Struthio camelus: one gene and its partners. The protein of the gene in region 2 purifies or fractionates together with the protein of the main gene of each other region. This does not show direct contact. Links are inferred from orthologs where the notes say so. Each region holds a gene or a part of one and is shown on either strand. Other genes may lie near its edges. The genes, in order: ERBB2, CTNNB1, CTNNA2 and FBXW2.

What was found.
Region 1: the proteins of CTNNB1 (region 2) and ERBB2 purify together in Homo sapiens (affinity purification with western blotting; 3 studies listed by BioGRID). This does not show direct contact. The link is inferred for Struthio camelus from reciprocal best matches to the Homo sapiens genes CTNNB1 and ERBB2.
Region 3: the proteins of CTNNB1 (region 2) and CTNNA2 purify together in Homo sapiens (co-immunoprecipitation; 5 studies listed by BioGRID and IntAct, with this or other methods). This does not show direct contact. The link is inferred for Struthio camelus from reciprocal best matches to the Homo sapiens genes CTNNB1 and CTNNA2.
Region 4: the proteins of CTNNB1 (region 2) and FBXW2 purify together in Homo sapiens (affinity purification with western blotting; 4 studies listed by BioGRID). This does not show direct contact. The link is inferred for Struthio camelus from reciprocal best matches to the Homo sapiens genes CTNNB1 and FBXW2.

What each region holds. Positions count from the first base shown.
Region 1 is NC_090966.1:6,625,933-6,633,734, reverse strand, and holds the start of ERBB2 (receptor tyrosine-protein kinase erbB-2), read right to left. Parts: upstream 3,020-7,802; 5' UTR 2,884-3,019; coding exon 2,808-2,883; intron 589-2,807; coding exon 437-588; intron 339-436; coding exon 152-338; intron 1-151. Other genes in the region: PGAP3 (post-GPI attachment to proteins factor 3), read left to right, coding at 5,111-5,559, 6,970-7,087, 7,450-7,602. UniProt on the Homo sapiens protein: Protein tyrosine kinase that is part of several cell surface receptor complexes, but that apparently needs a coreceptor for ligand binding. Essential component of a neuregulin-receptor complex, although neuregulins do not interact with it alone.
Region 2 is NC_090943.1:51,348,276-51,356,242, forward strand, and holds the start of CTNNB1 (catenin beta-1), read left to right. Parts: upstream 1-4,925; 5' UTR 4,926-5,321; intron 5,322-7,967. UniProt on the Homo sapiens protein: Key downstream component of the canonical Wnt signaling pathway.
Region 3 is NC_090945.1:83,119,092-83,126,204, forward strand, and holds the start of CTNNA2 (catenin alpha-2), read right to left. Parts: upstream 3,029-7,113; 5' UTR 2,861-3,028; intron 2,462-2,860; exon of another isoform or gene 2,447-2,461; coding exon of another isoform or gene 2,431-2,446; intron 2,262-2,430; exon of another isoform or gene 2,153-2,261; intron 1-2,152. UniProt on the Homo sapiens protein: May function as a linker between cadherin adhesion receptors and the cytoskeleton to regulate cell-cell adhesion and differentiation in the nervous system. Required for proper regulation of cortical neuronal migration and neurite growth.
Region 4 is NC_090961.1:188,447-196,494, reverse strand, and holds the start of FBXW2 (F-box/WD repeat-containing protein 2), read right to left. Parts: upstream 3,008-8,048; 5' UTR 2,891-3,007; intron 1,589-2,890; exon of another isoform or gene 1,496-1,588; 5' UTR 1,476-1,495; coding exon 986-1,475; intron 1-985. Other genes in the region: SLC2A8 (solute carrier family 2, facilitated glucose transporter member 8), read left to right, coding at 3,343-3,401, 3,689-3,848, 4,612-4,818, 6,685-6,784, 6,925-7,136, 7,983-8,048. UniProt on the Homo sapiens protein: Substrate-recognition component of the SCF (SKP1-CUL1-F-box protein)-type E3 ubiquitin ligase complex.

The DNA of each region.
Region 1 (7,802 bases), on a different chromosome or scaffold from region 2:
GCAGGGACCAGAGGGGACACCCAGCCCCGGGCAGGGACCGCTGGGGGGACTGGTAGCCCCATGGGGACACCCAACCTGAGCATCCAACCCCGAAGAGGGACCACCGCCCCCCCCAAGCATCCCGGGGAGCAGGCCGCGCCGCGCTGCCCACCTGTGAGGTGCCTCATGCCGAGCTGGCCGAGGCCCGGGGTGCCGGCGGGGCCGGCGTTGCCCAGCACGGCCAGGGCGTAGCGCTCCTCGAAGAGCTGCGTGCCCCGGATGATGCGCAGGCTCCGCAGCTCCAGGCGGCTCACCCGGTTCTCCGCGATGAGCACGTAGCCCTGCACCTCCTTGATGTCCTGCGCGGGGCGGAGGGGCGGCGCGTGAGGGTCCCCGGCAGTGGCGGGGGGGGGGTCCCGGCCGTGCCACCGCTTCGGGGCGTCCCCGACCCGCTCACCTGGAGGAAGGCGGTGTCGGCGTCGGGGGCCAGGTAGGTGAGCTCCAGGTTGCCCTGCACCACCCGGCAGCCCTGGTAGAGGTGCCGCAGCGTCTCGTAGTGGCTCTCGGGGCTGGAGGGACGCAGCAGCTTCATGTCGGTGCCGGTGCACACTGCGGGGACAGAGCGGGACGTCAGCGCGGCGCTGGCACCGGCGGGAACGCGAGCCGGCAGCGCCGGCCTCCGCAGGAAATGCCGCGGAGGCCACCGCCGCCGCCAGCGATCTCCGGAGCCGCTTCCAACAGCTTCCTATAAGCTTCCGGCACCGCCGCTCCCCCCCCCCCACCACCACCACCGTCCCGCGTGGCCGTCCCCACCCCAGGGACAACAGCACCCCGGGGTGGGGGGGGGGGGACCCAGCACCCCACCGGGGCCGAGCCGGGCTGGGGAACCGGTCCGGGGAGGTGGGAGCGGGGCGGCGGGGGCCAGCCTGGGGCAGGCGTCGGGGAGCCGCGGGGCTCCCCGGGCCGACGTTCCCGCCAACGCCGGGATTCGCCGGGGCCGGGCGGGAGCGGGAAGGCTCTGCCCACGCCGGCCGGGGAGGGGGGAGCGCCGAGACAAGACCCGATTGTTGAGCGGCGGCGGATGCCGGGAGCCCCCGGCCGGCCCCGCCGGCGGCCTCCGGCCCCCTCCCGGAGCGAGCAGGGTGTCCACTCCGGCCGTGGGGCTCGCGGTGGGGACACTGCTTGGGGACACCCCCCCCCCCCAACACACCCCCTCCCCGGGCAAAAACAGCAGCACCGGTTTTGGGGGGGGGGGGGTGGTGAGCTGAGAACTGGCGCCGTCGTGCCACGGGTGCCCGCCCTGGGCCGGGCGGCTGAGTCACGGCCGGCGGGGTGGCACGGGGCCCCCGCGGCCGGCGGCGGCGGCGCGGCTCGCCCCGGCAGGAACCGCCTTTTCAGGTCGGGCATGTTTGGGGAGCGAGCGGCTGACGCAGGGGCGGGCCGGGCCGCCGCCATCCCGCCGCCGGGGGCCTCGGTTTCCCCGTCGAGGCCGCTCGGTGGGGGCCAGGCCGGCGGCCCGGCATGGCATCCGTCTGCTAGGGACAACGGGGGTTGGATGGTGGGGAGGCAGGGGGGGGGGCGGCCCACGGCGCGGCCTGGACGCCGCGGGGAAACCGAGGCAGGGCCGGAGGGCGGCGGAGGCCGAGCGGGGAGGGGAGGCCGGACGAGCGGCCGGCGGCTGAGTGACAGCGGCCCGGTGGCCCGGCAGCTGCCCTGTTGGGGGGGGGGGGGGGGGACGACACGGCCGCCATCTCGTCCCTCCTCCCCGCGCCGCCTGGCAGCGAGCGTCGGGTCCGAAGCTCAAGGTCTGGGGCGGGCGCCGCGCCGGGGGGGGGGGGGGGGGGTGCCAAGGGCCGGCGGGTGCCGTCGACGCCTGCCGGCGAGCGGGTCCCGTCCCCGTCGCCGCCGGCCCCGGTCCGCGTGCCCCGCGGCGTCGAGGGGCGGCCGGCGTTTCCCGCCGGGGTGGCGGGTCTGGCCGTACGGCGCGGGGCGACGTCGGCCCCGGGGCGGCGACGAGAACCCCCCCCCCGGCCTCAACCTCCCCTCGCGCCCCCCGCCCCGGGACCCCCCTCCTTTGGCTGGGGGGGGGGGTGCTCCTTACCCCGTCTCTGCTCCCCTTCACCCCCCCCAACTCTGGGCTCGGCGGGACCCCCCTTGCCCCCCAGCTCTTGGGATCAGCAGGATCCCCCTTGTCCCCCCCAGGCTCGACGGGACCCCCTTGTCCCCCTTTTCGGGCTCAGTGGGACCCCCTTGTCTCCCCCCCCCGGGGCTCGGTGGGACCCCCCTTGTCCCCCAACTCCTGGGATCAGCGGGACCCCCTTGTCCCCCCCCCATCCCGAGCTTGGTGGGATCCCCCCCTTGCCCCCCCCGGGGCTCGACGGGACCCCCTTCCCCCCCCCCCGGGATCAGCGGGACCCCCTTGCCCCCCCCGGGGCTCGACGGGACCCCCTTTGCCCCCCCCCGGGATCAGCGGGACCCCTTTGCCCCCCCCGGGGCTCGACGGGACCCCCTTTGCCCCCCCCTCCCGGGATCAGCGGGACCCCCTTGCCCCCCCCGGGGCTCGACGGGACCCCCTTTGCCCCCCCCCGGGATCAGCGGGACCCCCTTGCCCCCCCCCCAGGCTCGACGGGACCCCCCTTGTCCCCCCCCCGGGACACCCTGCCGCGACACCCCCCCCCCCACCCCGAGCCGCCCCCGATCGCGCCCCGCGCTCAACTTTGCGCCGAGTCCGGCTGCCGCCGGCGGAGGGAGGGGAGGGAGGGGGGGGGGACCCGGCCCCGGCCCGGTGTCCCCGGTGTCCCCGGCGGCCCCGGCAGCGGCGCACCCACCTTCGGCGGCGGCGGCGGGGCAGAGGGCGGCCAGGAGCAGCCCGGTGCCGAGGTAGCAGCCGCCGGCGGCGATCATGGTGCTCAGCGCGGGCCGCGGCCCATGGCCCCCGCGCCGGCCGCTCCGCCAAAGTTTGCGGCGCGGAGCCGCCGCCGCCGCCGCCGCCGCCGCCGCCGCCGCCGCCGCCTCCTCCCGCCGCGCTCCCGGGCTCCGCCTCGCGGGGCCGCGCCGCGCGCTCCCGCCGCCGCCCCCGCGCGCGCTCCCGCCGCCGCTGCCCCGGGCACCGCCGCTGCCACCGCCGGCGTCGCCCCCGGCCCGGGCGCTCCTGGGGGGGCGGGGGGAGAGCGCGGGGGGCACCGCGGGGCGCTGGGGGGGCGGTCGTGGGGCGGGGGGACACGGGGACAGCGCTGGGGTACGGGGACAGTGCTGGGGTACAGGGACAGCGCTGGGGCAGGGGGACAGTGCTGGGGTGTGGGGACACGGGGACAGTGCTGGGGTACGGGGACAGCGCTGGGGCAGGGGGACAGTGCTGGGGCGGGGGGACACGGGGACAGCGCTGGGGTACGGGGACAGTGCTGGGGTGTGGGGACAGTGCTGGGGTGTGGGGACACGGGGACAGCGCTGGGGTACGGGGACAGTGCTGGGGTGTGCGGACACGGGGACAGCGCTGGGGCAGGGGGACAGTGCTGGGGTGTGGGGACACGGGGACAGCGCTGGGGTACGGGGACAGTGCTGGGGTGTGCGGACACGGGGACAGCGCTGGGGCAGGGGGACACGGGGACAGTGCTGGGGTACAGGGACAATGCTGGGGCGGGAGGACAGCGCTGGGGCAGGGGGACACGGGGACAGTGCTGGGGTACGGGGACAGCGCTGGGGCAGGGGGACACGGGGACAGTGCTGGGGTACAGGGACAATGCTGGGGCGGGAGGACAGCGCTGGGGCAGGGGGACACGGGGACAGTGCTGGGGTACGGGGACAGTGCTGGGGTACGGGGACATGGGGACAGCGCTGGGGCAGGGGGACAGTGCTGGGGTGTGGGGACATGGGGGCAGCGCTGGGGCAGGGGGACAGTGCTGGGGTACAGGGACAGCGCTGGGGCAGGGGGACACGGGGACAGCGCTGGGGTATGGGGACAGTGCTGGGGTGTGGGGACACGGGGACAGCGCTGGGGCAGGGGGACACGGGGACAGCGCTGGGGTATGGGGACAGTGCTGGGGTGTGGGGACACGGGGACAGCCCTGGGGCAGGGAGACACGGGGACAGTGCTGGGGTACAGGGACAGTGCTGGGGCAGGAGCACAGTGCTGGGGCGGGGGGACACGGGGACAGTGCTGGGGTACAGGGACAGCGCTGGGGCAGGGGGACAGTGCTGGGGTGTGGGGACACGGGGACAGCGCTGGGGTGTGGGGACAGTGCTGGGGTGTGGGGACATGGGGACAGCGCTGGGGTGGGGGGACAGTGCTGAGGTGTAGGGACATGGGGACAGCGCTGGGGTGGGGGGACAGTGCTGGGGCAGGGGGACACGGGGACAGTGCTGGGGCATGGGGACATTCCTGGGGTGTGGGGACAGTGCTGGGGCGGGGGGACACGGGGACAGTGCTGGGGCAGGGGGACAGTGCTGGGGCGGGGGGACAGTGCTGGGGTGTGGGGACACGGGGACAGTGCTGGAGTATGGGGACAGGCCTGGGGTAGGGGGACAATGCTAGGACATGGGGACACAGGGATAGCCTTGGGGTATGGGGACAGGGGGACAACCCTGGGGCATGGGGACATTCCTGGGGTAGGGGGACAGTGCTGGGCTATGGGGACAGTCCTGGGGCATGGGGACAATCCTAGGATGTGGGGACAGTCCTAGGACGTGGGGACAGTTCTGGGGACAGGGGGACAATCCGAGGCTATGGGGACAGCCCTGGGGTGTGGGGCCAGTCCTAGGGCATGGGGACAGGGGGACAGCCTGGCAGCAGGTGGTGGGTCTCTGCCGAGGTGGCCTGGAGCTGACGCCTGTCCCCAACCCGGGACCGTCTGGGGCACGAGGGGGCGGCGGGAGCCACCAGGCCCTGGGGCCGGCCATGGCGCTGACCCCGGCCCTGTGACCCCCCCCCCCGGCGGAGCGCTATATCCCGTGATCCTCCGCGGCCCCAGTGGGGCGGTATATCCCGTGATCCTCCGCGGCCATCGCGGGGCGCTATAACCCCTGATGCCCCCGGCCGTTGCGGTGGGCGCTATATCCCGTGATCCTCCGCGGCCACAGTGGGGCGCTATATCCCGTGATCCTCCACGGCCATCGGGGGGCGCTATAACCCCTGATGGCCCCAGCCGTTGCGGTGGGCGCTATATCCCGTGATCCTCCGCGGCCACAGTGGGGCGCTATATCCCGTGATCCTCCCCGGCCAACGCGGGGCGCTATATCCCTTATACTCCCCAGCCATTTTGGGGGGGGGCTATATCCCGTGGTGCTCCGCGGCGCCATTGGGGAGGGGGCGCTATATCCCGTGGTGCTCCGCGGCACTACGCCATTTCCGGGGCAGCGGCCGGAAACGGCGGGGCCGGGCGGCCATGGCGGCTCGGGGGGCCGCTCGGGCCGCGCTCCTGCTGCTGCTGGGGGCGGCGGCGGCGCCAGGCCCGGCTCGCGGCTCGCAGGGCGACCGGGAGCCGCTGTACCGGGACTGCCTGGCCAGCTGCGAGCGGCGCAACTGCTCCGGGGCGGCGCTGCGGCACTTCCGCGCCCGCCAGCCGCTCTACATGAGCCTCACAGGTACGGCCGGGCCCGCCCCGCGCACCCATTGGCTGGGCGCGGCGAGGCCACGCCTCCTGCCGAGGTCCCGCCCCTCGGAAGCTCCGCCCCCTCCCTCGCACGGGGCGGGCGAGCGGCCTCGGGGCTGTGGGGCCCCACCGGGCCGTACTAGAGGATCACTGGGCCATACTGGAGGTCGTTGGGCCATACTGGGGGACACTAGGCCATACTAGGGGCATGCTGGGGGTCATTGGGCCATGCTGGAGGTCACTGGGCCGTCCTGGAAGCATGCTGGGGGTCACTGGGCCATGCTGGAGGGCACTGGCCCATGCTGGAGGTCATTAGGCCATCCTGGAAGCATGCTGGGGGTCACTGGGCCATACTGGGGGGACACTGGGGGACAGTGGGCCATGCTGAGGGACACTAGGCCATACTGGGGGCATGCTGGGGGTCACTGGGCCATACTGGGGGGACACTAGGGGACACTGGGCCATCCTGGAGGCATACTGGGGGTCACTGGGCCATGCTGGAGGGCACTGGACCATCCTGGAAGCATGCTGGGGCTCACTGGGCCATGCTGGGGGGACACTGGGCCATGCTGAGGGACACTAGGCCATACTGGGGGCATGCTGGGGCTCACTGGGCCATGCTGGGGGGACACTGGGCCATGCTGAGGGACACTAGGCCATACTGGGGGCATGCTGGGGGTCACTGGGCCATACTGGGGGGACACTAGGCCATGCTGAGGGACACTGGGCCATCCTGGAAGCATGCTGAGGGTCACTGGGCCGTGCTGGGGGGCACTGGGCCGTGCTGGAGGTCATTGGGCCATCCTGGCACCATGCTGGGGAACACTGGGCCATGCTGGGGGGATACTGGGGGACGCTGGGCCGTGCCGAGGTTTGCTGGGCCATACTAGGGGCATGCTGGGCGTCACTGGGCCTTACTGGGGCCATGCTAGGGGGTGCTCTGCCATGCTGGGGCTGTGCTGGGGACTGCAGGGCAGTGCTGAACCATTGTGGAAAGACATTGAGTGCTACTGGTGGGTGCAGCACCATGCTGGGGTGCACTGGGCTATACTGAGGAGGCACTGGGGTATGCTGGGGGGCACTGGGCTGTGCTGGGCTTTGCTGGGGGGCACTGGAGCATACTGGGGAAGACTGGAGCCTGGACATTGCCCCTGCCTGTGCCCAAGACAGTGGGGATCTCCCCAACTGGGCAGGGCAACCCCCAGTGGGCTTCTCCTTGCCTCGAGCTGGGCCCCAGAGCCCCCAGCTGCGGTGGTGGTCAGGCTGCGCTGCCTAACGGTCACACCGGTGTCTGCACTGGGATTGACTGGAGGGGGCTCTGTGACTGGGGACGGGGTACCCGGGAAGGGCTGAGCCCCCGAGGGACCCTTCCCCGTCCTCGGAGGCCTGTGCTGGCCGCCAGCTCCTCTCCCGCCGCTGCAGGCTGGACCTGCCGAGACGACTGCAAGTACGAGTGCATGTGGCTCACGGTGCAGGTCTACGTCCAGGGCGGCTACAAAGTGCCTCAGTTCCACGGCAAGGTGAGCCGGGCCGGCGCCCAGCGCCGTGCGCGCATGCGGGAAACGTGCCCCCGAGGCCCGGGGCCGCCCCGCGCACCAGGCTGTCCTCCCCCATCCCGTGCCTTCAGCCGCTGCACCACCCAGGGGCTCCCTCTTCCCGCGGCGCCAGGCGTGCTCGAGACGCCTCGGGGCCGCTCCAGCATCAGGGCCTGAGTCCCATGGGGGGGGCCCCCCGCGATGGGGGTGCTGATCCCCAGCCAGAGCCCGGCTCCCACGTCTGCGAGGCCTGTGCCAGCAGCTGCTGAGAGCCGTGGCCAGCGGAATAGTGCGATCCACACCGCTAACGTCTCTGTCGTCCGTCTCCCTCCTCTTTTTTGTTCTAGTGGCCCTTCTCTCGCTTCCTGTTCTTCCAGGAGCCCGCGTCTGCCTTCGCCTCCTTCCTCAATGGCCTCGCCAGCTTTGTGATGCTGCACCGCTACAAAGCCTCCGTCCCGCCTTCCTCGCCCATGTACCACACGTGCATCACCTTCGCCTGGGTGAGCCGCATGGCACCTTCCCTGCTGCCGCAGGCGCCTGTGCTGTGACGCTTTGCCCGGGGAGGGCAGGACAGTGGCAAGAAGCCATTCCCTGCTTCCTCCCTGCTGCCTTCAGGGGTCCCCTCTTAGCCCACGTCGTCTCTCCCTTCTCACGGGGACCTTGAATACCTCTGGGGCTATTGCAGGGCCCTGCAAGCTGA
Region 2 (7,967 bases):
TGATTGCAATTGCTTTAAATTAGGAATACAAAACCCATAATCATTAAGAGACTGGCACATAGAGAGATTTTAAATGAAAACTTAGGTGCTGTGTAATACCTGATAATGACAAAATTTGAAAAAGGAACAATATTGTGGATTTCTGTTTCTCTTCCTCATGCAACAAATGTTACATATAAGCCATCCAGATACTTATTCATTTAGTTAGTAACAATTAAAATATATGTATTTGGTAGATGCAGTGCTTCATCTTGATGCTGTCCCACTGTGTCTGCTGCTTAATCTGCCAGCAATCAGATATTCTGATGAGTAATGCCTCAGCTGCTAAATCAGCTGGAAACTTTTCAGTTTCTGAAACATACCTGGTATATAAAGTTAAACTGCTACAGGCATTCACATGTACTGAATAAAAGAGAGAAACACTGCAATATATGCAATATATTGCATATATTCAAAACTGAAACAGCAAATAAAAGAATAATTTTGTTTTTAATCAGACTTTTGGCCAATTACAATTTTAATTCTGACATTTGGAACAACATTGGCAGAGTACTCCAATTTATCTCATTCCCACCAGTTAACAAGATGTTTTGATCAGTATCTTCTATACTAATTTATTAATAATTGTTACTGTCTCACTTTCACTCAAAATGACTGCAAGCTACACACTAGCATAATTTTATTCCATAATTTTTTGAGAAAAATCAAATCTCACCAGTGTTTTGGAATCTGGCAAATTCTCTCCCTCTTTGTCCCTAAAGAACACGTATTTTACTAAAATTGAGCCTGAGTGGCATAGCTATGTGCTTCAACATAGCAAAGTTTCTGACTTGTATTAATAAACTGTAGTTCTTAAGCATGCAGCAGAAGTTACATTGATTAGTCTTGTATCTCAAAGAATGCTTAAATACTGCTACCATCTCCTTTATTTCACCCTTCATTCCTGTATAAAAGTGCAAATACATGACTTATTAAATACATTACAACTTTTCTGTGCTGGAAGAAGATTTTTTTTTGAGAGGATCAGAATGATTTGGTTTGCTGCGGACAAGTGAATATTTATTTAGTCAGTGTCTTTAAAAATGTGTAATTGATTCTCAAATATGTTCCCAGATTATGCACAGTTAGAAGCCAATTATGCATATGTTTTTAAGATCCATATGGGAAATCAAAGATTCAGGCCCAGAGCCTTAGATGTTTCCGTAATTGGTGATTTTGCTTTGTCCTTATATTAGTGCCATTGCTACTCGTTTGTTACTATGTTCCCTAAAAACACAGCTACATGCCATAATTTCAGAAGGAAAGGTGACCAACCAAGTTTACCTTTAGCTGTTTGTTATTTTTAATTAATGGGCTTCCTGCTTTCTACGGTGTTAAAAGTTGTCTCTGCAAAAGCAGTGCTAAGGATGTTAAAATGAGGCTAACAAAAAGATTTAAATCATTATCTTTTAAAATTTAACCATGAAGCTCTCCTTTGCACTGAGGATTTCTTACTGCAGTGATACACAATGGACATGTTAGAATACTGCTTGACCTTTTGAAAAAAATATGTCTGCGGCATAGTCATCTAGCAAATAGTCACCAAAACAAACCTATTAAAGCATAAAAGAGCTCCAAAGAAACTTCTGAAGCGGCATATACAGAGTGGATGCTTCTTGGGGGAAAAAAAAAGAAAAGTAGAAGAAGAAAAATAACTGGATTTTTGTGAATTCATTCATGGAAGCCCTGCACTGTAATATCCAATATAACATTCACTCTTCTCGCTTTGACACTGGACCATTTCACAGTGTATTTTAGAAAATTTAGAAACATGAAATGTATTTTAGAAACATTTTGTAATTGAAATAATAGTATTATAAGTCAGAGTTCATCCTAATTGCAACATTTCCAGCTATTAAGGTATTTAGCTTTCCTAGGGTAGTCTTTTTAAAAAGGTGATACTTTAGAAAATGATTAGGTACCTAATAGCTAAAAATTGCAAAGCTAAAATGAACCTAATTTCTATTAGCATCATGTCTAGATCCAAAAGCATCCTAACCACTCTGCAATGAAACAAATATAGTTTAAAATTACAACAAACCACGCAAGAGTAAAACAACTCAAAATCAACAAGAGCCTACCATTATGTGCTAAAGGCCTTATGAAATTCATATAAATATATATAAAAAAAAAAAGTTGTATGTTTTAAACCTGTTTGTAAATGGGCTAGTTCCAGCAGTCCTCATCAGGTGAAAAAAAGCAGTCCATACTTCAGGGGCCAGAAGCAAAGACACAGGCTGTACCCCTCCTGCTTCTGCAAAATCCAGGCTCCAAAAGCCCCATCCTTGCAGACCTCAGGGGGTGGGATGGCACACAAAGAGGCTCTGAAAGGTATCTGGGACCATGCAACGCATCAAGGGCGTTTGACTGATTCTACTGTTGTTATCAAGTACCCAATGGAATTGCTGATGGTGAATTTGGCAATAATACCCTATAGAAACAGCACTTTGAACTTATATAGCACCTTTGATCCAGGGATCTAAGAGGAGAGGTCTGTCATTATTATTATCCCCATTTTACAGAGGGTGAAACCAAGGCAGACATGATTTTCCCAAGGTTGTACAGGAAAGCAGCTGAGAAAGGGAGGTGCACAAAGAACGTAGCTCTTCCCCCCACATCTTTTTTTTTTTTTTTTAAATGCACCAAACCAATCTCCAAGCACGCTTTCTCAGATTCGTAAAAGCAGAATCAAAGTTTTTGTGTCAAGGATGGCAAGGTCTGCCGCTCACAGCAGCACGCTCCTGCGCCATGCAAACACACCCTGCAATTCCCCTGGAAGCTGATCAGCGTTTGCCGCCTGCAGGCCCTGATCCGGCAGCATTTGCTTTGCCTACTCTGGCTGCACAGTTCTCCTCCTTCTTGCCCTCCTTTCAGCCAGTGTAGCCAACGTGGGCAACCGTCCTAACAGGAAATGGTATGACAAGGAAAGCTGTATTCCTTGACCCTCTAACTTCAAGTGTATCCCAGACGTACTTCATCCTAGTGAGGGCGTGAGGTCGCCCAGTGCACCAGGAGGCTGGTGGGTGGTAGATTGCTGCATGTCCTGCAAAGGCAGAGAAGAGTGGAGAGCAACCAAGGAGTTTGGGGTATTTTTAGTTTTTGGGGGGGGGAGTTGGTTTGTTTTTGCGTGTGTGGCTTTTTTTAAGCACTGCTGCCTTCCCAGTGCTTAAACCGCACTGCTTCACTAGTGACAGCTCCTCTGGCTCTGGGACCCCTGCATCAGTCCCACTGGGCCACAGCCTCATGTGGTTGCCCCATGCCAGGCCAGGCAGGCAGGTACCCCAAAACTCTCCCAGGTGCTGCAGTGGACCAGGGTATTTTGTGTGCAGCAAGCCCTACACCTTTATTTTATTTTACTTTTTGAGCAGGGAGAAATCCCATGTTCAAAAAGTGCTGGTGCAATAAAGCAGTTGATGTGAAAATCAGGTAGCACTGTCAAAGAAGTCCTTTAGCCTAAGACTACTACACATTACATTACTAAATAAATCAACAAATAGGGGGAAAAAAACTTTTAAAAGTGTAACTTTCTGAGCCTATTTAAAAGAGTATTATCTTTGGAAAAGCAAGCACACAGGCGGCCTCTCTGTGAACCATGCATCTCCCCAGCGCAAGAGCCACAGCAGCTAGAGGATGGTGGGGAAGGAGAGGCTGCGTGAAGCCCTCCAGCACGAGACCAAGTATTCAATCCCCACCATCCCCTAGTGCCAAAGCAAATCTATACTGAGAGGGGAAAAAATAATCCATCTTTCACTATAAAACATCTTTCATGTTTTATATAAACACGTTGGTATATACACTCCTTGTTTCATGCAGCGGTGCACTTTCGGGGGTATGTTAAACAGGCTTTGCCTGTGCAAGACGGCACAGGCAAGAAGTCTGTAAAACGTTTTGCTGCGCAAGCCCGCGGACGCCGAGGAAGAGGCAGCCACATACGTGCCTTCACAAGGCTCCGCACGCCGCGAAAAACCTTGTGCAATTCATAATATTTTCCTGTTTTTACCACTCACTGAAGAGACGAGGGGTGGGCGGAGGACCGGTGGGGGGGGGGAGAGGGAAGGGAAGGAAAACCTGCTTCTTCCATAGAAAATAAATAAATTGCATAACGAGATACTTTCTTTGGCAACTGCTTCCTGACAAATATTTATAAGGGCAGAGCGGAGCGCGTTTCCGCCGACGTGAGCGGGCCCCGCCGCCCCTGTCCCCGGGCTCGCCCCAGCGGCCGCAACGGCCCCAACGGCCGCAGCGGCCGCGCGGCCCGGGGCGGGCAGCAGCTGCGCCGGCGGCCGGAGCCGAGCGAGAGGCCGGTTTTAAGGCGTTAACGCGGCCCGCGAGTCCTCCGCAGTCGGCGACGAGCCTTGGGGAAAACCGCAGAGTTTCCCCTCTAGTTGGCGGCGTGCGCACCCCCCGAAATTTAAATAAATCAGTGAATAAATAAAACCCACTCCCAGAGGCCAAGTGGAAGCGGGCTCTCGCACCCCCCACCCCACCCCCCGCGCATGCCTCGTCCCAAAAAATTCGCACTGTTTTGCCCTGAGGGAAGGGGACCCCCAGGCTAATCCCCTCAGCTCCTCCACCACCACCGCTCGCCGCCGCCGCTGCCTCTCCCCCGCCTTCAGGCAGCAACTTCGCTCGCAGCCTTAAGCTCGCTCCTTTCTTCCCCCACCGCCGCCGGGGTACGCTGCCCCCCGCCCGACCCTCTGGCCCCGGCCCCGCCGCAGCCACCCTGCCTCCCCCCGCCCCGCCGCGCCGCCGCCGCCGCCGCCGCCGCCGCTGCTGCCGCCGCCGCCTCCCCCCCTGCTCGCGGCCGCTTCCCTCCGCTACTGCTCTCTGTCTCCCTCCGCCCTGGGAGCCGGGCACTATTTCTCCTCCCCCCTGCTCTGTGCGCTGGGCGCCTGTGGAATGCTGCGCGCTGGGCCCGGCCGCGGCGGCAGGATACAGCCGAGCCCGGCGCTCACTATAAGAACCTCCTTGTGAGCGACGCCATTTTAAGCCTCTCGCTCGGTAACGGCGGTGGGAGCAGCAGCGGCGCTTGGGCGAAGGGGGACTAACACCGCCGCCGCCCCGCACGGCTGCTACCCGGGAGGCAGCGGCGGGGGTGCTGCCGCCGCCAGCAAAGAGTCGAGCGAGGAGGAAGGGCGGGGGGGGGGCGGGGAAGAGAAAAAGGAAGGAAAGACGGACGGGACCGGGATCGCCCGGGCAGCAGCAGCCGGAGCCCGGGGGGACCCTGCGCTCTCGCCCCCCTGCGACAACGTTAGTGCCACTTTCTGCGGCGGGAACTTGGGGTGAGCCCCTGCCGGCCACCCTCCTCCTTTCCCCCCCCCCCCCCCCCGATGGCCGCCGGGGCGGGCGCCGCGTCCGGTGGCCGTTGGGGGGTCCGGGGTGTGCCGGGCGCTGAGGCGGGAAGGGCGCGGGGCTGGGGGTGGGGGGCGCTGCTTGGGTGGGAGAGAGGCGGGTGGCCGCGGGAGGTGGGGGGTTGGGGAGCGAGGGAAGGAGGACAGGAAAGGAGGAGAGGGCTCTTGTTTTGGGAGGTCCGGACAGCTGCGTGGCCGCAGGAGGCGGCAGCTGCAGCTTCCCGAGGTGTCTCTTGGGAAGCTCGTCCTGGGCCGAGGGGGTAGTTGAAGGGGTCTGTGGGAGGGGGCGAGACTCTGCGATGCGGGTCTGTGTGCGTCTGTGCTCCCCGCTGGGTTTGCGGTCGAGGCCGGAGTAGTTTCGTACCGATTTTTTCTCCTTTTTTTTCTTCCTCTTTTTTTGAGGGGAGGGGAAGGAGGGAATGCTGACTCGCCAGTGGGCTCCAGACCACAGCAGTGACCGGGGAGAGGAGGGGGAAGAGAGCAGGGGACGGATTTATCTGTACCTTGTATAATTAACTAACCACGGTCACTGCAGTCAGAGGTAGATAACTAATCTGTTGACTTGTAGGTTTTCTGTCGTAGTTGCATGCGTGTTTGTTGGAGAGGTTGTGCTCCTTCTGGATGTCTTCGAAATGAAGCTCCCTGAAGCTAGGAGCAATCAAATTAAGTTTTTAACACCCACATTACCAGAGTCTTGCAGAGGATGACTTAAGCGATGTAGGGGCTCCCCTGTTGAAGGGGGAAGCGCCTACTCTTCGTGGCCGACCGGGGGGGGGGGGGGGGGAAGGCCCTCCAGCGACCCAAACCAAAGCAGTTCTGAGCTGTGTGAAGCAACTTGCTCTTACTGTTGATGGAAACTTATTTCTGACTCTATGGAACAAGGAGCTTCAGATGTATTTTTCCCCAGCGGCTTAGTTGAGCTGTCTTTTGTGCATGATGGGTTCCTCTTGGGGCAGTTTGATTTCTTAAAAATCTAGCAAAATCTTAAACTCTGATCTAACTAAAACTTGGTATAAGACCTCTTGCAGTTTCTTTTTGAATCGATTGCTTCTGGGAAGAGGTGTTCTTGGTACAGTTTTGGGAAGAAAACACAGGCTATGGAGGCAATATCAGCAATTTGTGACTGTGAATAGCAATGTTAATCTTTGCAATCAGCTACTTTTTCTTGATCTCTTTCTCATGGAGCAGCCATTGTTCTGACACTCTGTATATTCCAGACATCTGTGGTCCTCCCATCCCCCAAAGTATGCAAGTGGTGAATGGAAAGAGGCTGGGCTGGTATGCTGAGGTCGATGGAAGGAAATCAAGGAGGGGTTTTAGTAAAACAGGATCTTTGTGCTGAGAATATAGTAAAGGCATAGAGTAGAAACTTACCTGAAAGAGAGCAGGATGTTCTTGATCCTAAGTTCAAGCACACTGGAGAGCAACTTTATCAGTTATGACTTTGCTCTTGATTGGCAAAGCTGTTACTGCGAATCTTTAAAACAGCACAAAAGGCAAATTCACTGGTGTCCACTGAGCCAGGTAATAATGTGAATTTCAAGTAACTGACCACTCCAGGAACCTAATGTTAATCTTGCGCTTTCACCTTTTTTATTAAAAGGTGCTGACAGCTGTAGGTATCATCTGACTGTCAGTTGCACGATCGCTGGTACTGTTGAAAATAAGGCTACTTAGATGTTCAGACAAGGCTTTGAGTCTCTAAATTCAGCTATTGTATACAGAATCATATTAAATGTCTTGCTATTTTAGGGGTCATTCTACAGAACTGTCCTCTTTGCTTGGCTATAAGTTCAGATAACTTGTATTTAGGTGTAAACTGATATGCTTGGGAGTGTTCGTGTTGGTCTGTGGCTGCTTCCTAGGGTATCAGGGAGAAGTGTAAAAACATGCCAAACAAAAGGATAGTATAAAATAGATTGTAAAAGCAAGGGTTTAATTCAGGGTAAGGCTTAATCCAAAAGTCAGCTAGTTCTTAACGTTCAATGTTGTTACATCCTCAGTAAACAATTTTTTTTTTCTTGCCTGAGTAACAAATACGTTGTCCTTCTTGCTTGATATGTAGTTTGCTATTTGTGCTATGGCTACATAATGTGTCAGTAAATGGTTTATCAAATCTTAGCCCTGAAACTTAGTTGCCTTTCAAATGGAAGGTTTTCTTTGTAAAATGTATCCATTAGTCTTTCATGACTTAGCATTCCCGAAAGCTCATATCTAACCCTTCAGAAAATAATTTCTGATGAAAAGAGATAAAAATGAGTAATACTGCTGATCTTCTAAACTAATTTGGGGGTATTTTGAGGTGTGGAGAGGACAGGCAGCAAGAGTGAGACAGGAGAGGCAGCTATTGTAAGCTTTAGCATTGTAAACTGAAGTCTGAATGTGCAATGTAAAACTCGTGCATGAAGTTGTTTTTGCAAAATATGGTCTAGTATCTAGACTAGTGTGCAAATACAGCAGTAATCAAAATCATTCATGCTAATTCAAAGTTAAAGCTGGTAACACAGGGGTTGTGATGATTGTGCAGTTGGTTGCAGCAAAACTTGTTCTGTGACTTTGTAGGCTGTGTACCATAGC
Region 3 (7,113 bases), on a different chromosome or scaffold from region 2:
TATAAACAGAATAATCTTAAATAAACACAAAGTTATAAAGCTACAAACAAGAAATGCACACCAGCCTACAGAAAAATGAACTCTTGTGGAAAGGAATAGTCCTGAAAAGATTTGTCACAATGAGCATGATCACTGAAAATGAAATCAAAATGTGCTGCTGTGACAGAAGGGTTAATATGTAAATGTAATATATAAACAGAAGAGTTACACTAGAGGTAATTTTTAAATTCACAAAACACTGATGAGACAAGATATTGGAATACTGCATCCAGTTCATATTTCTACAAAAATGTTGAAAACGTGGAAGTGGATTTGGAAAAAAAGCCACAACAATGAAATTGTGAGGAAAACACCCCAGTGACAAATTTAAAGGATCTAAGTCCGTTTGTGTTTTTATTAAGACAAAGAGAAAGATTACTAGGTTACAGCAGATAATTGCATCCAGGGTAAAAGAATACTCCGAGTTCTTTAGCAGAGTGGAGAAAGACAGCAATAACCAGTAACTGGACGCTGAGGCCAAATAATTTTATAAATAGTAGATTCTCCACCCAATCAAAATTCCATTTTTTTCTGGAAAATATGTTTCAGCCAAATACAAGTTATTGCATTTAAAAGTAACTGGACAAAATCCAGTAGACTATAATGGTCAAAAAGTCACAGTAGAAGAAGAGCTGATTATTTCCTTTGGCTTTAAAGTCTCAGTCTGTGAACGCTCTTGGTTTTCAAAGGCATTTCAGTAGTACCATACACATTCAGTTTTAATATTAAAAAAGAGCTTTCAACAGTATACATAAATTAGGGTTGTATTTCCATATAAGGGCTCAAGTAACACTGACAAGCCTCTGGAGCTTTCCTGTTGAGGCTTTTGTCATCAACAAAACCCATCAATGGAATTACAAATATCTTATACGCAGTTGAAGCAGTATTATTTCTATAGTAGTCCCTAAACAATGATTTCATAATTAACTGTAAAAGTTCATCCTTCAGGTCAGCACTTTCACTCTTCTAGAGAGAATTCTGTTTAAACTGGAATATAAAAAACCTGATACAACATATAGTATTAATCATAAAAATTGTACGTAAAAAAAGAAAAACAGAAGCATTTAAATAGCCACAAAGCCTCTAAGAGCTGTTGTTCTCATTAGCAACCTCATTTAAGTCTGCTCTTATTTACGTTACGTATCTACCATCCACTCCAAAACACACAGTTTTTCCTGTAATCTTGACAAGTTGATAGAAGCAACATTTCTTAGGAAGCACATGCCAAGATAGTGCATAACGTGCAGGGTTTTATATTATTCAGACCAAGAGAGTTTTGCTACAGTATTGGCTGCTATATTACCTATAAATTTAGAAAATAGCAGGGGTTTTGAAACACATTTCTCCTGACAAAGTACAAATAAACTTCTCCTAGTTCAGTAAACGCAAGCTTGAAAAGGATGAAATTGTCTGAAGCTGTAAATGTTCTGCTACTACATAGCTGATGAAGAGGAGAAGGGGGGGGGGGGGGGGAACCCAGCATCCACACAGAGCTTTTTAAGTGCTGAACAGCACCTTAAAAACAGACATCACATACAACCAGCAAGACAGGAGTGAATGCATTCACCCCTTCGACATACTGAGGAGCAGGTGCGTGTTACATATTCCTGATGCTACATATCACCGTAAACGTGTAAAAGTTACTTTCAAGTACCCTTTAGAGATTGGTAGTCCCCAGATCATATCCAGCGCTACACTTCACGCAACACAAACTCCCAAACAGGCGAAGCAGCTGAAGTCTTGCGATAGGTAAAGCACAAACGCTCTTCCCACCACCACCATGTTTAAGCAAAACTTCTTCCACCCCAAAAGCCAGCTCTGCGGCCAGGCACGAGACACCCGCGGTCGCCTTTTAGCCAAACCTTCACGAATCTTTCCGATATTTCCTGCGCGCTCCCCATAAACATAAAGCTGTATTTTAGACCCCACGAACTTTAATTCGCCACCGCCAGAGCAAACCCCTTTGACAGGACCCGGGACCTTTCGGGCTGGACTCCGGACCCAAATATTAAGCGGGTGGTTTGAAGCGTCTCGGAAATTGGAAGAGGCCTAAAGAGAAGGGCTGTAAAAAGCTGCTTTCCCCGAGCCCTCAGCACCCCCTGCCCACACGCACCGCCTCTCCTCGACCCCCTTCCCAGCGGCTCCGCGCAGGGACGACCGGAGCGGCGGCTCTGAATTACGGAGGCACACAGCGGATGGATAAAGAGCGAGAAAGAAACCTCCGGTGCCTGAAGAAAGGAGAATAAAAAGAGCCAGACTAGGAAAACAGCACGGAGCTGCCTTTCGCCTCGAAGCCATGCGAGGTAAAAAAAATGGATAAGCGAAGCAACACCCCTCTGACCCTGCCTTTTCTCTCCCTAAATATAATCCCCCTCTTCCCATCATACGCACACCACAACATGACCATTAATTCAAATCCATTCTTTGAAGAAGGGGGATTATCTCTGTCTGTGACCGACTCTCCCTCTTCCGCCGGACGAAAATTAAAATTGCGGTTAAAAGGAAAAAAAAAAAAAAAAAGACAGAGAGAGAGAGAGAAAGAGCGGATGATTATGATTTCTGGTGGGTGGGAAACGTGGGCAGGGGGGAGAAGGAGTCTGGGGGATGGGGAGGAGGGGAGAAAAGGTGGCTAAGGAGAGAAGAAAGGAAAGGAGGACCAGGAAGCGCGAGGAAGGATGAGGGGAAGGCGAGATAAAGGCGGGGGAAGGAGGATAAGGGACGGAGGATGAAAGGAAGGAGCTCGGCGAGGCGGGAGGGGGAAAGGGGCGAGCGGGAGGGGAGGATGAGGGGAAGAAAGGAGGATGCTTTGCCCTGGCCTCACCTCAGCACGGTGGGTGGGGGTGGCAGAATCGCCGCCGCCGCCGCCGCCTCCTCGGCAGCGACCGTTACAGACGGGCTGGGCGCGAGGCGCGGCGCGGCTCCCTCACACAGCGCCCGGCCCCCGCCGCCGGCCCGAGCCGCGCTCGCTCGCTCGGCTCTGAGGGGACCCGGGAGCTGCCGCGGCGGCTGCCAGGCTCCCAGCGGCAGCCACTAGGGGAGGAGGCAGCGCGCCTGCGCCGCCGCCGCCGCTGTTGCCGCCGCCGGGCGGGCGGGCGCGGGGAGCTGCCCGCTGAGGGGGTGGCGGGGCGTGGGGGGGGGGAGGCCTTTACCGCCGGCGCTGTGCGCAGGTGCCGTGAGTACGGAGACGGCGTTAGCCGGCGGAGGCCGGGGTGCGGTGCGAGGCGAGGTGAGGGGCGGCGGGGCTGGCGCCAGGCCGCGTAGGGGGGAGCCGAGGGGTGAGCAGCGGCCGGCCGAGCCCTCCGGGGCGGGCTGGAGAGGAGCCCAGGGCAGAGGGAGCCCGGCCCGGGTCATGGCCTGGCCCCAGGGACACCGCAGGGTAAGTAGCGCGGCCGCGCAGCGGCGTGTCCATCTTGCGTCGGCGGCGAGGCAGGGCGGAGGGGCGCGGGGCTGCTCTTGGGGGTTTTGGGGACGGTGCGAGGAGCTGGGAGCGGAGCCACGTGGGGTTTAGCTCGAGGATTTCTTGAAATCCCTGCTCCCCCCCTTCCCGCACGCTGAGAAAAGGTAACCGCTCTAGCGTTAACGACAGCAGGGCGCGAGAGCGTTGGTCCTCCGCTTCTCTTCAGCTGTAGAAACTTCGGTCGCTTGTGACAGCCCCAAACGCGTGCAGCCCCAAATGCCGTGCACCGAACACCAGGTTTTGTCCTGGCGGTCAAGGCTCAGTATGTTTTCATTCCTCCCTTTCCTCAGCGGCCTTACTGCGCTTACCAAGCTCAAGCTGTTTGTCGCTGCCCTCGATGGCATCGCCGCCTTCTGCCGTTCCTCAGGTACGGTGCGTGCTCCAAAACCGCCCCGCCGTCGGTCCCTGGGGCTGCCGAGTCCTGTTGGCTGCGTCCTGTTGGAGGGACTGGGCCGTTTTGAGGTGGTGTGAACTCTCCTTACGCGCTGTCGCTCCACGAATCCGCTGCTCTTGGAGCCATCTGCTTCTCCTACTTAGGCATGAGCTCATGGGCAGCGAGGAAGGGAGGGGGTATGAGGCCGTCCAGGTTTTTCCTTGCCTGTTTTAGGTTTGGATGGGATTTACCAAAATAATTCCTCTCCCGCTGCCTGTAGGGAATGATGTTACCAGTACAGGAATATCTGTCGGGCCTCACGAAGAGGCAGCAGCTGCCAGTTTTTTCTTCTCTCGCCCTCAGCTGGAGAGAGATGCTGTCAGGGTCTACCTTCGCTTTTTTACGATGATTAAATGAGGATGGGAGCTGTCTTGGAACCCCAATTCCCTCCACCAAGGCACAACAACAGAGTCCTTGGAAGAGTCCACAGCAGGGAAAATGATTTCTTAGGCAGGAACTCATTTTAAATGTGAATCACAACATGAGATGCATCATGGCTTATACTTCATATGGTCATATAACACATGTAAGTAGTTGCAGTCAGTAGTTTACAGAAGTACTTTGAATTATTTAAGCCTTCTGACAGTATCATTTAAAACAGAAACACAATCTATTGTGCATGCAAATGATGTGACAAAGAGTATGCATACACAGAGACCATGCTAGGCTGACCTACCCTTTAGGATGATATGCAAATTATTGCTGCAAGCTGTGCATTTAGTTTGTGTCTTTAGTAGGCTTGCAAGTTGCATCAAATTACTTTTCTAGGTACTGTTTCATCTTTGCCATGCTAGTGAATCGAGCCATGTGATATTAGCAAAACTTTACTTACTGACCTTCTTCTAGCCTTCATTCCTGTAGCCTTGTCTTTCAGATTGCTACTTCTTCTAGGTAGGGACAGTGCCTTACTTTATGCTGTGAAGAGCTAGCATATTTTGAATATAAATAGCAACAAGCAAAGTTGCCCACATAGAATATAGTAAACTACTCCTTTATCACAATGCATTACATCAGTAATTGCAATGGGAACTAAGTGTTTCTCCAGGCATTTAATTGACATGAACTTGCTGTAGAGAACATATAAGAACTACAAATCATAAATAACACCTAATTATGAAAAGTGATATAACCTCTCCTCTCCCCACGAAATAAGATGCATACATCTCTTGCAAATTTGAACCAAAGGACGCATTAAAAAATCTAGGCATATTTCTGTTTAAAGTGTATCATTGTGTGAGAAACAAATCAGGTTATTTACCTGGTCCAGATTATTTTTATCTAAGACAGAGATGTGGATTGCTGGCCTGTTGCTAAGAGGTCTGCCTGAATGTGATAAAGAAGTCTGAAAATCTGGAAGAGCTGTACAAACTTTTCCCCCTCCCCAAGGCCCTGAAAGAGAGCTCTGTCCACTATTTAGACATTTACTTCTTCCTTTAGGATATTAACTGTCGGAAACTACCGTTATTATTTCTTTTATCACTTGTAATGGTCTCAAAGAAAAGGAAAAAAAACTGATTTTGTTACCACTATTCACCTAAAAACTGAGATATGCTGCTAAGCTGCTCTATAAATGAATGTGGCTCTTACCAGCCAAGGGAGGCCAACTGAGAACTCCTAACGCTTCCAACTGCCATGGGATCTCCCAGCGACAGCATTCAGCAACATATAGAGAAGAGACATCACCAAAGCATTAGGACTGTTGGGCAGGTTGATCAGGAAGACACACAGAAAGACCATTCGACGTAAATGAAACATGCATGGATTTTCTTTGCACGTGTGTGCTTTTTTTAAATGCTATGCCAAACTGTGGAACTGTCTGCCAGAATATAGAACCCAAATATTTTCTATATACAGAGAAAATAAGACTATTTAGAACAAGAGCTATAAATAAATACAAACAAGGCATGCTTTATACTTAGTGAACCTGGCCCCTGTTGGCAGTTTAACCCTCCTTTATGAAAGATTGTCATGCAGATTGTCATGCAGATTGACTTCTGCAATATGTAGTTACTCAAAAGAGTAACTAGTCAGATACAAGATGCATTCAATTTAGCTTTACTGAGAGTGTATCTGATTGAACGAGAAGGGAGGTGTGCAGAATTAGGAGGAAAACACCCACTTGAAGACCCATAAATACGCATAATCACGCACCAGTCATAGGTGTGCAGCTATCTGGCTTGATCAAAAGGCCCTTTGGAGAGTCAGGGTTCTTGCAGCAGGTGGCATCCCACAGCCTTAACTCCACCACATGCTTGATGAACCTGCAGCTGAGCTTTTATGGCTTCTGGACTGCTAGACCAGTAGCCATAAAACCTGTAGAAGCTTCTGGGCTGCCAGACTGGGCTCTCCCTAGGGTGGCCACACTTACACAGCCCAGCTGGACCCAGCTGATCTCTTTCAGGCTGGAGGTTGCACTTCAAGAGTTGTGCCTTCAAACCCTTTTATTCAATACTGCCTCCACCCCCACAGTTGGCCTGATCTGACTTACCTTCCTCTTCATACTGAGGAGCTACAAAACATCCCTCCCTCAGCCTGTATGGCAGGAATGTGAGTCTGCCCCATATAAGCAACAGAATAATAAACTAACTAGGGATTGGCAAGGATGGCATGCAAGCACTTCATTTCTCTTTCATAGATTAGAGGTAAGGTGTATCAGTAGAAATGTAGTAGAAGCTCAAACACACTTTTTCTGAAAAAGGCAAGGTGCAGTCAATTGCTGGCTTGGGGATATATTGCATCTCCACAGAGCAGTCCAGGAGTCTCAGCTGCTTGTGTGTTGCCTTTTGATGAGGCCTTCACTCAGGACTCTATCATGTGCCATTCAGAACCTGCCCAGCAGCATTTTTGGCACCTGTGCTGTTGGTGGATGACCTCTGAAGTTGAGAGAGATGCTGAGAACAGAGAAATAAAAGTGGAACACATTCTTAAATTTCTTTTATATATATAAGGTACGTTATAAGCATATGCTTATATATTTCTTAATTTGGCTCCAGCTGTACCTGCTAAGCAGTCACCACTAAAATTCTCACTTACATTTAGAAGTCCTTATCTACATGAATGGCCATTAGGCAAATTAATAGGATCGTTGTTGAAAGGCATTAATATAGGACCTAGATCTGTAATGGTGATATGATCAACCAGGGAGATAGATGTACAGGAGGAAACACAGTGCCTTATGAGCTCT
Region 4 (8,048 bases), on a different chromosome or scaffold from region 2:
AGCCTGCTTGCTTTGTAGAGCAGAATAAACCCTAGACTCTTTCACATGTTTTTCTCTACAACATGTGGTTTCAGCATAAAAGAGGGAGCTGTTTTTCAGTAAGGTTTGACAATGCCACCTCCTGAGTATTTTTCACTCCCTGCTGACTACTAGGGAAGCAAAAGACTTGTTGGAGACTAGTTCCTAGTTTCTCACAATCTTCTTAATGTACCCACAAATGTGGGAGTACTACTCAGTACTCCCAGCTTATTCTATAGCACTGTTGTCTCAAGTGCCATAGTTAGGAATTCCTTGGAATATGCTCTGGCAACAGTTCACTGTAACTTTGTCACTATTCTTTCTTACTTAAGGTTTCATATTTGGTCTGGCTGTATTCCTAAAGTCAAACTGTAATCTAGGAGTCTGCAGTTTTTAGGAAGGAAGTTGAAATCATTCTTACAATGTGTAATTCAGATGAGTAGCAAGGCTAGATCTAGTTCACAAGTCTTCATACATGCTTTTACATTATATTAAGAATTGAAAGAGTTTACAGATCATACCACAGAAATTGTCATGCTGGGAAGAAGACAACAGAATTTTCCTGCCATGTTTCGGAGGCTGCAGTGATCAGATAGTCCAAACAAGGTCCCTTTAATCTGAAGAAGGTATCCTCTAAGAGGATAGCTAACATATCTGTACTTCTCAAATGGGCTTACTGTTCTGAAGAATTATATGCAGCACTGTTGGCCTTTTTATTGATTTAAAAAAAAAAAAAGAAAAAAAAAAGAAAGAAATAAGTCTCTTTGGTCTTTCTATTGAAGTGACCAGTTAGCTTTTTAGTGTGCCAGGTGTTTCAGAAATTGCAAAAATAGTAATTTTGAAAACCTTAATCACCAGCACTGTGAAAATAACTTGCCTGGTTAAGGAAACTCAAATTGTCACTAATCTCATGGGGAAAAAAGACAAAAGAAGAATTGTAAGACTCCAAGTTTTCTGAACTTCGTACCTGTACACAGAAGTCCATCTTTATAGTAAAGTGCATATACTCTGGCACTGTGTCCAATTAAAGAGGATGTCTCAAAGGCTTCGTGGTCCTTCAGTTGCTTCATCCTTAAAATAGCCTTTAGGTAAACCTTCTTCCAATGTAGAGGGTCCTGAACAGAGTCGTCTATTTGCCAACCTAAATTCTTACATGCAGTCTGCCACACCTCTGTACAGGCACTTATAACCTTATTCCACTGCTTAGAGACGAGGCAACATGTGAGTAAGGTCTGAGGATCGAGCCATTTTAATAGGTAAAAACTAAGTTCCAGCGGAAGAAGTTTGAGGAAGTCCCTCTTGAGAAGAATCTCTAGATTATTGGAGAGGTGCCTGAGCTGGACTGCTCCACTCAAGCTAATCAGGTGATCCAGAGTTTCATTTTTCTGCAAGTCCGTCAGAGAAAGAAATGTAATAGAAATGTTATCAAGCCATGCTTCAAAGTCCTTTTTCTCCATAAGGTTATGGAAAAATTTACCTGTGATACATCAAAATACTGTATTAGTTCTGTTCAGAAAACAAGATAAGCATCACATCTTTATTGCTGGTACATCAATATTCCAAACTGCATGTTAACACATGGACTGAAATGACCAAACACATCTTAAAATATTCAGTAGGTTAGTACTAAGCATTTGCAAATACTTTGAACTATTAGATGTCCCACATCAGACTTAGATATGAGTTGTATGGAGCCAGTACATGTTAGCATTCACTATGGATGTTAACATCCTTCTTGTTCTAGGTTAACACTTTCAAATTCTGAATTCAATAAGGTCAGGGTTGGTTCAAGTTTTAAACTTATGGCAAATAAACATTGTCTTACAGTTTACCCACGGATAACATTGATATGGAAGGAAACAAATCATACAGATAGGGTGATGAGAGGCTACTTACTAACAGAACTTACTCCATGCATTTGCCCTATACAAAGTAGGTAACTGTGCGGTTTTAAAAAAAGATACAAAGAGATTTCTCAGGAATTGGGATGAAGTTATGTGTTAGCCAACTATTTGGCTATTGTAAATTGCACTGGTATAATATCAGTTTTGACACTTCTTTTTTAATTGTTTCCTATCTTCTAGGTTTATTTCCAGTGAACAGAATTAACTATGAAATTGCGGGTTTAAAAACTACCTCTTTAACTATGTGCATTTATACTACATCGGGGCATCTCTAGTTCCTGCAGTAAGTTTGAATAAACGATTAACAAGATAAATATTGGGCAAACAGTTAAAAAGCCATAATTAATTATTTTCTCTGGAAGAGCTAATTCCATCCATTAGACAACTGGCTGAATTCAGTATACAGCTCCCAAATCCAAAGAATTGAAGAATCTGAGTGGGAGTCAATAACATGTTTATTTTTATACAGGCATTTTATCTTCATCGAATAAGACTTTAAAATACACCTCTTAAAAATATGGAGTCATAGTACAGGGAAGCACAGTCCTCACTGTGAAAGGCTGCCTGTGGTATGCGGAGAAACAGCAGCTGTTGCTAAAAACAAGAAGGTACTGGGTGTAAAGTGCATATAGACAGCTATTCCTATCAAGGCGTGAGTTCACACAGTAACTTTAACGGACGGCTCTTACCGGCTTTCCCCAGCACGCATGACAAAGGATACTTTCGCTATTCTAACAGGCATGTATTCTCTTAGGACCAAACAAACCTCTAACCGTTTCCCTACTGATAAGAATTAAATGAGATCTAGGGCGTTTGTTGTACGCGATGCGCGGAGCGAATGCGGAAAGCAACGGCCGGAACCGACGCTCCGCGCTGCCCGCGCGGGTGCCCCGCCGCCGCCATCCGCCTCCGCACGCAGAAAGCGCGGGGGGCTGCCGGCGCCGCTCGGCCCAGTCCCGCGGGCTCACCTCAGGTGGCGGCCGGGCGCGGGGCGTCCCTCGGCAGGCGGCTCGCGCGGCTCCCCGCGGCCCGGCAGGGGCCCGGGCGCCCCCGGGGCCATCGCTCCCGCAGCAGAAGGATGGGCTCCGGCCACTTCCGCGGCCCTCACCGCGGCCCTGCGGCCGCCCTCGGGCGGGCGGGGCGGGGCGAGGCGAGGCTCGCGCCGCGGCCGGGCCCCGCTGAACCGGCCGGCACCGCAGGGAAGGCGCTGCCAGCACCCGCGGCTCTCCGCGCCCGCAGCTTCCGGCGCTCGCCTCTGGCGTCATCGCTCCCAGCTGCCACGCGCGGGCCGCTTCCGTCCGGCTGGAGGCTGGCCGCGCCGCGCCGCGCCGCCTCTGCCCGCCGCGCCCGGGCCGGGCCCCTCGGCCGCGCCGCCCCGCAGCAGGGGCGCCCGCGCTGACGTGCTTCCTGCGGGCGGGACATGGCGGCGGAGGAGTCCCGGTGGCTGCTCGGCCGCCCCGTGCCGGGCGCGTACCCGAGGTGAGCGCGGGCGCCGCCGCCCGCCGCTCGGGCGGACTCGGGGGCGGCGCGGGATGCGCAGGGGCTCGGCGGCCGCCAGGCCGCTGAGGCGAGCCCTGGGCCGGGCCCTCTGCTAAGCCTGCCTGGGCGCTGCCGCCCCCGCGGCTCGGCGGCGGCCTCCCGCGCCGCTGGGGCCGGCGGGCGCCGGCTTGCGCGGGGCTCGGGCCCCCGGGGGGCGGGGGCGTCGCGCGGGGGCGCCGGGGCTGGACGCGGGGCGGCGCGATCCTTCTCGGCCTCTCCCGCCTCAGAGTGCAGAACAAGAAGCTGTATCTCGCCACCTTCGCTGCTGTCTTGGGACCTCTTAGCTTTGGCTTCGTGCTAGGCTATAGCTCACCTGTTATTCCAGAGCTGAGTAAAGCCGACGATCCTAGACTAAGACTGGACGGTAATCAAGCGTCGTGGTTTGGGGTAAGTCTCTGTAGGATTCTTCACCGTTAAGTGACTTCAGTTGAAGGTGTAGGTCCAGAAGATGTTGTTTATATGGCAGGGTCTTACTTTCCTTTAGGAGGATGATAAATGCAAACGTTACTAATGAAGCCTAGACTTTTTTTTTTAATTTTTTTCTCCCTAAACTCAGTGGTTGGTTCAAATCTTTTCTGGATAGCAATGATATTATTCTTTGGTGACTCTCAGCATGTACTAAAAGATGGCCCTATTCACTGAACTCCTTTTTGGTGCTAAAATGTCTTCTCACAATTCTCAGCTTTCTCAGTTGTAGCTGTTAAGGGACCACAGAGGATAAACTTTTTCATAAATTAGGTGCCATCCATCAACATAGGGAATACCTGCTTTTTGGATGCAGGCTGAACTTCAGGTTAGTTAAGACTGTAACTTCTCCAGGGCTTTAAAACATTTTGAAGAGCTAGTTGAACAGATGGCATTTTAGATGGATAAAAAGAAATACTGAATTTTTTCTTCTTCAATGAAAGGTCTTTGTATTTAATCTAAAAATTATGTGCTGCTCATTTGTGGTGAGGAGTAATTCTGGACTATGTTTTGATAAAGAAGTTAATGTTAACTGTTTTTTTTTTTAAACACCTCTATGTACTTGCATATTTTGTTTAGAAGCTGCTATTTAATTTCTAAAATATTTCAAGAAATTGGAGTCTGATATACAAACACACACATACATATAATATGTTTGTTTGTTTTTTAAACTTATCTTCTGAAGTCTGTAGTAACATTAGGAGCTGCTGCTGGAGGAATACTGGGAGGCTATCTTGTGGATAAAGTTGGGAGAAAACTGAGTCTAATGCTGTGCTCGATACCATATGTTTCTGGATATATAGTTATTATTTCTGCTCAGAATATTTGGATGCTTTATTTTGGAAGAATATTGACCGGCTTGGCCAGTGGAATTACTTCACTTGTTGTTCCGGTGAGTAAGGCATCTTTTCTGCTTAGCATATTTTCTGTGTGTTTTGGGGAGGATGCTGGGTTGGAGTGGGTTTTTTTTTTTTTTGTCATTTCTTAGCGGCTTGGATGAAATAACTGAGCAACTGTAACCAATGCAATTTGTGGATTTAGAAGAAGCTGATTTAAAAAAAAAATCTCATGTTGTTTTATTCATATTTTTATTAAAAACAAGCAAAATAAGTTTTGTCTCTTCTAGTGGCATTTGCCGCTAGATGCATTCCAGTATGCATTCATAATACAGTGATGTGATCTTTCATTTTTTTAATCCTTTTTTCCTTATCTGAGTGTTTCTGTTTTGTTATTGTCTAGTAATTCATTTTTCTCTCCAAATGCCTCATATATATACGCACGCCCACGCGCAGGCATGCACGCGCACACATGCCCACGCGCACGCATACACACACACACACACACACACACACGCATACACACGTAGCATTAGAATTTTGGGAGGGTTTTTTGCTATCACCATCTGCTTCTAGTAGTCTGAAGATATCTTGTATTTCACCAGACTTCTTAGGTTTGCCAAATAAATTATGGCCGCTGTCTCATTCTAGCGCAATGCCAAGCAGTGAATTCTGATTCAGCTCTTGCCTTCTGAACATTAACTTCTCCCTTGCATTCAGAAATATTTGTACAGTAGGGAAACGGAAAGAATTCATGCCCTTTTGTTATCTTCCTTCTCTGGTATTATTTGACATGTGTATCTAACTGAATAGGTGGCAGTATGAAATAAACCACCTAACATTTGCATTTGTTTCCTTTCTGGTGGGTCCAGCATTTCCAGCTCTTGAAGTGATATGCCTACTAAAAATCAAAGGATAAACTCCTAACGCACTGTTGAATAAATGCTAATTCTTTATCATTTAGGACCTCCTCCCTCAAATCTTTTTTTAGTTTTATTTTTATAAATATTTAGATTGGTAATCCTGTGTAGCTTACTTATTGTTGAAAATATGCTTTCTTAGTCTGGTGCATTAGTGTCTTTGGAAGAGTTCCATCTGCTTTCTCTTTGTTTTCACTTATGTAAAGGATTTAACCTGCAGCCAACAGGAAAAAATTTATGACTACAGTGATGAGGGAGGGGAGTGTGATGTCTTAACACCCTGTGATTTTAGTTTGAAATAATTTTTGAACTAAGAGTTGCTTGTTTTCCATCTGAAAAAAAGTAAGAGCTGTAACTTTGTGAAGAACTGTATGCCTAGATAGGAGGGATTTCTCTTTCATGTATTCAGCTAAGCTGTAACTGTGGACTTGAGATCAATGTAAAAAAATAGCTGAGCAGTTTAAGTTATCTCAAATATCGGATGAGATGTGATGTTATTTGTGTAATGTGTAGTTGGACAAGAGCTGATAATTTGGGCCTTCATGGAAGATGAAATAATTTGTGCTCTTTATGTTGAATTAAAATTTTCAAACTTTTATTTGCAAAGAATTTTATCTGTGGCTCAGGTTATGTGTCTATGCAAAGACTGCTCCAAACACCAGGCCACTTTGTGAGGATGTGTTTCTTGTTGATTATGGCCAACAAAGTAAGTCCTTAAGATTGCAAGATTGTTTTCATTTCTGAGATGCTGATACTGCAGTTTACCAAACATCATCAGCATTCTTGTGTTTCAGGGCTTCCCTTCTTTCCAGGGTTTTTCATTATGGAGATATGAATTTCTGAGATGGTACTTCTCTACTTACTCCATTTTATTGAGACTTTTTTTGAGGGGAAGAGTTACTGGAAAATACACCCATATTTTCCAGAAATGAATTACTCTTCAAATCCTTGCTCTAAAATTGGATAGGAATAATTATTAGGTATTTTCTCCCTGTGTTTTAGGTGTATATTTCTGAAGTATCTCATCCTAAAGTTCGTGGTATGCTTGGCTCTTGTGTTCAACTGATGGTGGTGACTGGCATACTGGGAGCCTACATTGCAGGTATTGGGGTTAGGGCTCTAGATTGCAGTGAAGAATTAGTACTTGTAATAAAAGAACTACACTAAGGAATTGAAAGTATATGTTAATTTGTCTGTACAGTGGATGTTTATAGTCCTCTTTGTTTCCTTTTTGTTGTCCAGGAATAACACTAAAATGGCGCTGGCTGGCAGTGTTGTGTTCTTTCCCATCCTGCATAATGCTTTTGTTCATGTCCTTCATGCCTGAAACACCAAGATTTCTGCTGAATCAGAACAAACGTTCAGAAGCCATAGCTTCTTTACGGTTTCTTCGGGGACCACATGTGGATCATGAATGGGAATGTAGGCAGATTGAAGCTAATGTTGAGGAGGAGGTGATGAGAATCTGATATACAGTAAAAACTTTGTGTATGGAGACAGTATATGAAAGTGTAGTGTAATTAAGAGTTTTACCATAGCTTAGTTTGATGGCCTTTTCTACAAATGGTTGTCCAAACGCATTCCCTCAGCCAAATTCTTACTTACGAAGCAAATAAGATTGGAAGAATCCTTACCTCTCAGCTGTAACTACTATCGCCATTGACTGCCATAGATGTGCACGAGTAGCAGTCAGGCTCATGATCTTGTTCTTAATTTTCTGTGATAGCTATCTAGTTTTTCCACTTTATTTAACAATTTTATAGACTGTTCAACACCCAACCCTAATTTCCTAGTTTTTTTTCTGTTGTACAAACATGTCCTCTTGCATCTCTGTAATAGCATAATTTAGTCCCTTGTAATGAGATGTTAAAATTTAACAGCCTCCTTAAACAGGCATGTCTAGTCTGTAAGCCATGAATTCATTCATGTTAGCTTTCTCTACAAAGGTTTATTTTAATAATGGCAGATAAGAAGGTGCCAGAGAAGTTGAAGAAATCTAATTTCACGTTCATGGACTTTTAAATTCACCACTTTGTTTTCAAAGGATACGTCCATATACTCTGCCAGTACTGTGGCTCAATTACTGTCTCTAGAACTTGACAAAAAGAGAAAAAAATGATTTTATGGAGTCCTCGGATAGTTCAAATGTAAACTATGTTACTACCGAGGCATTTAGGAGGGGGGCATTTAGGCTAAAGATGAACTTACTGGTTTTGAACAGGCTGAAATCTTCTGAGGAAGTTCTTTGTTCTTTAAAGGACTGAATTTTTCATTGAATTACTGTTTAATCTTTTTAACAGGGATTGAGTTTCTCAGAGTTCAAGAACCCTTCAATCTACAGGCCACTTCTTATTGGTGTGGCTCTG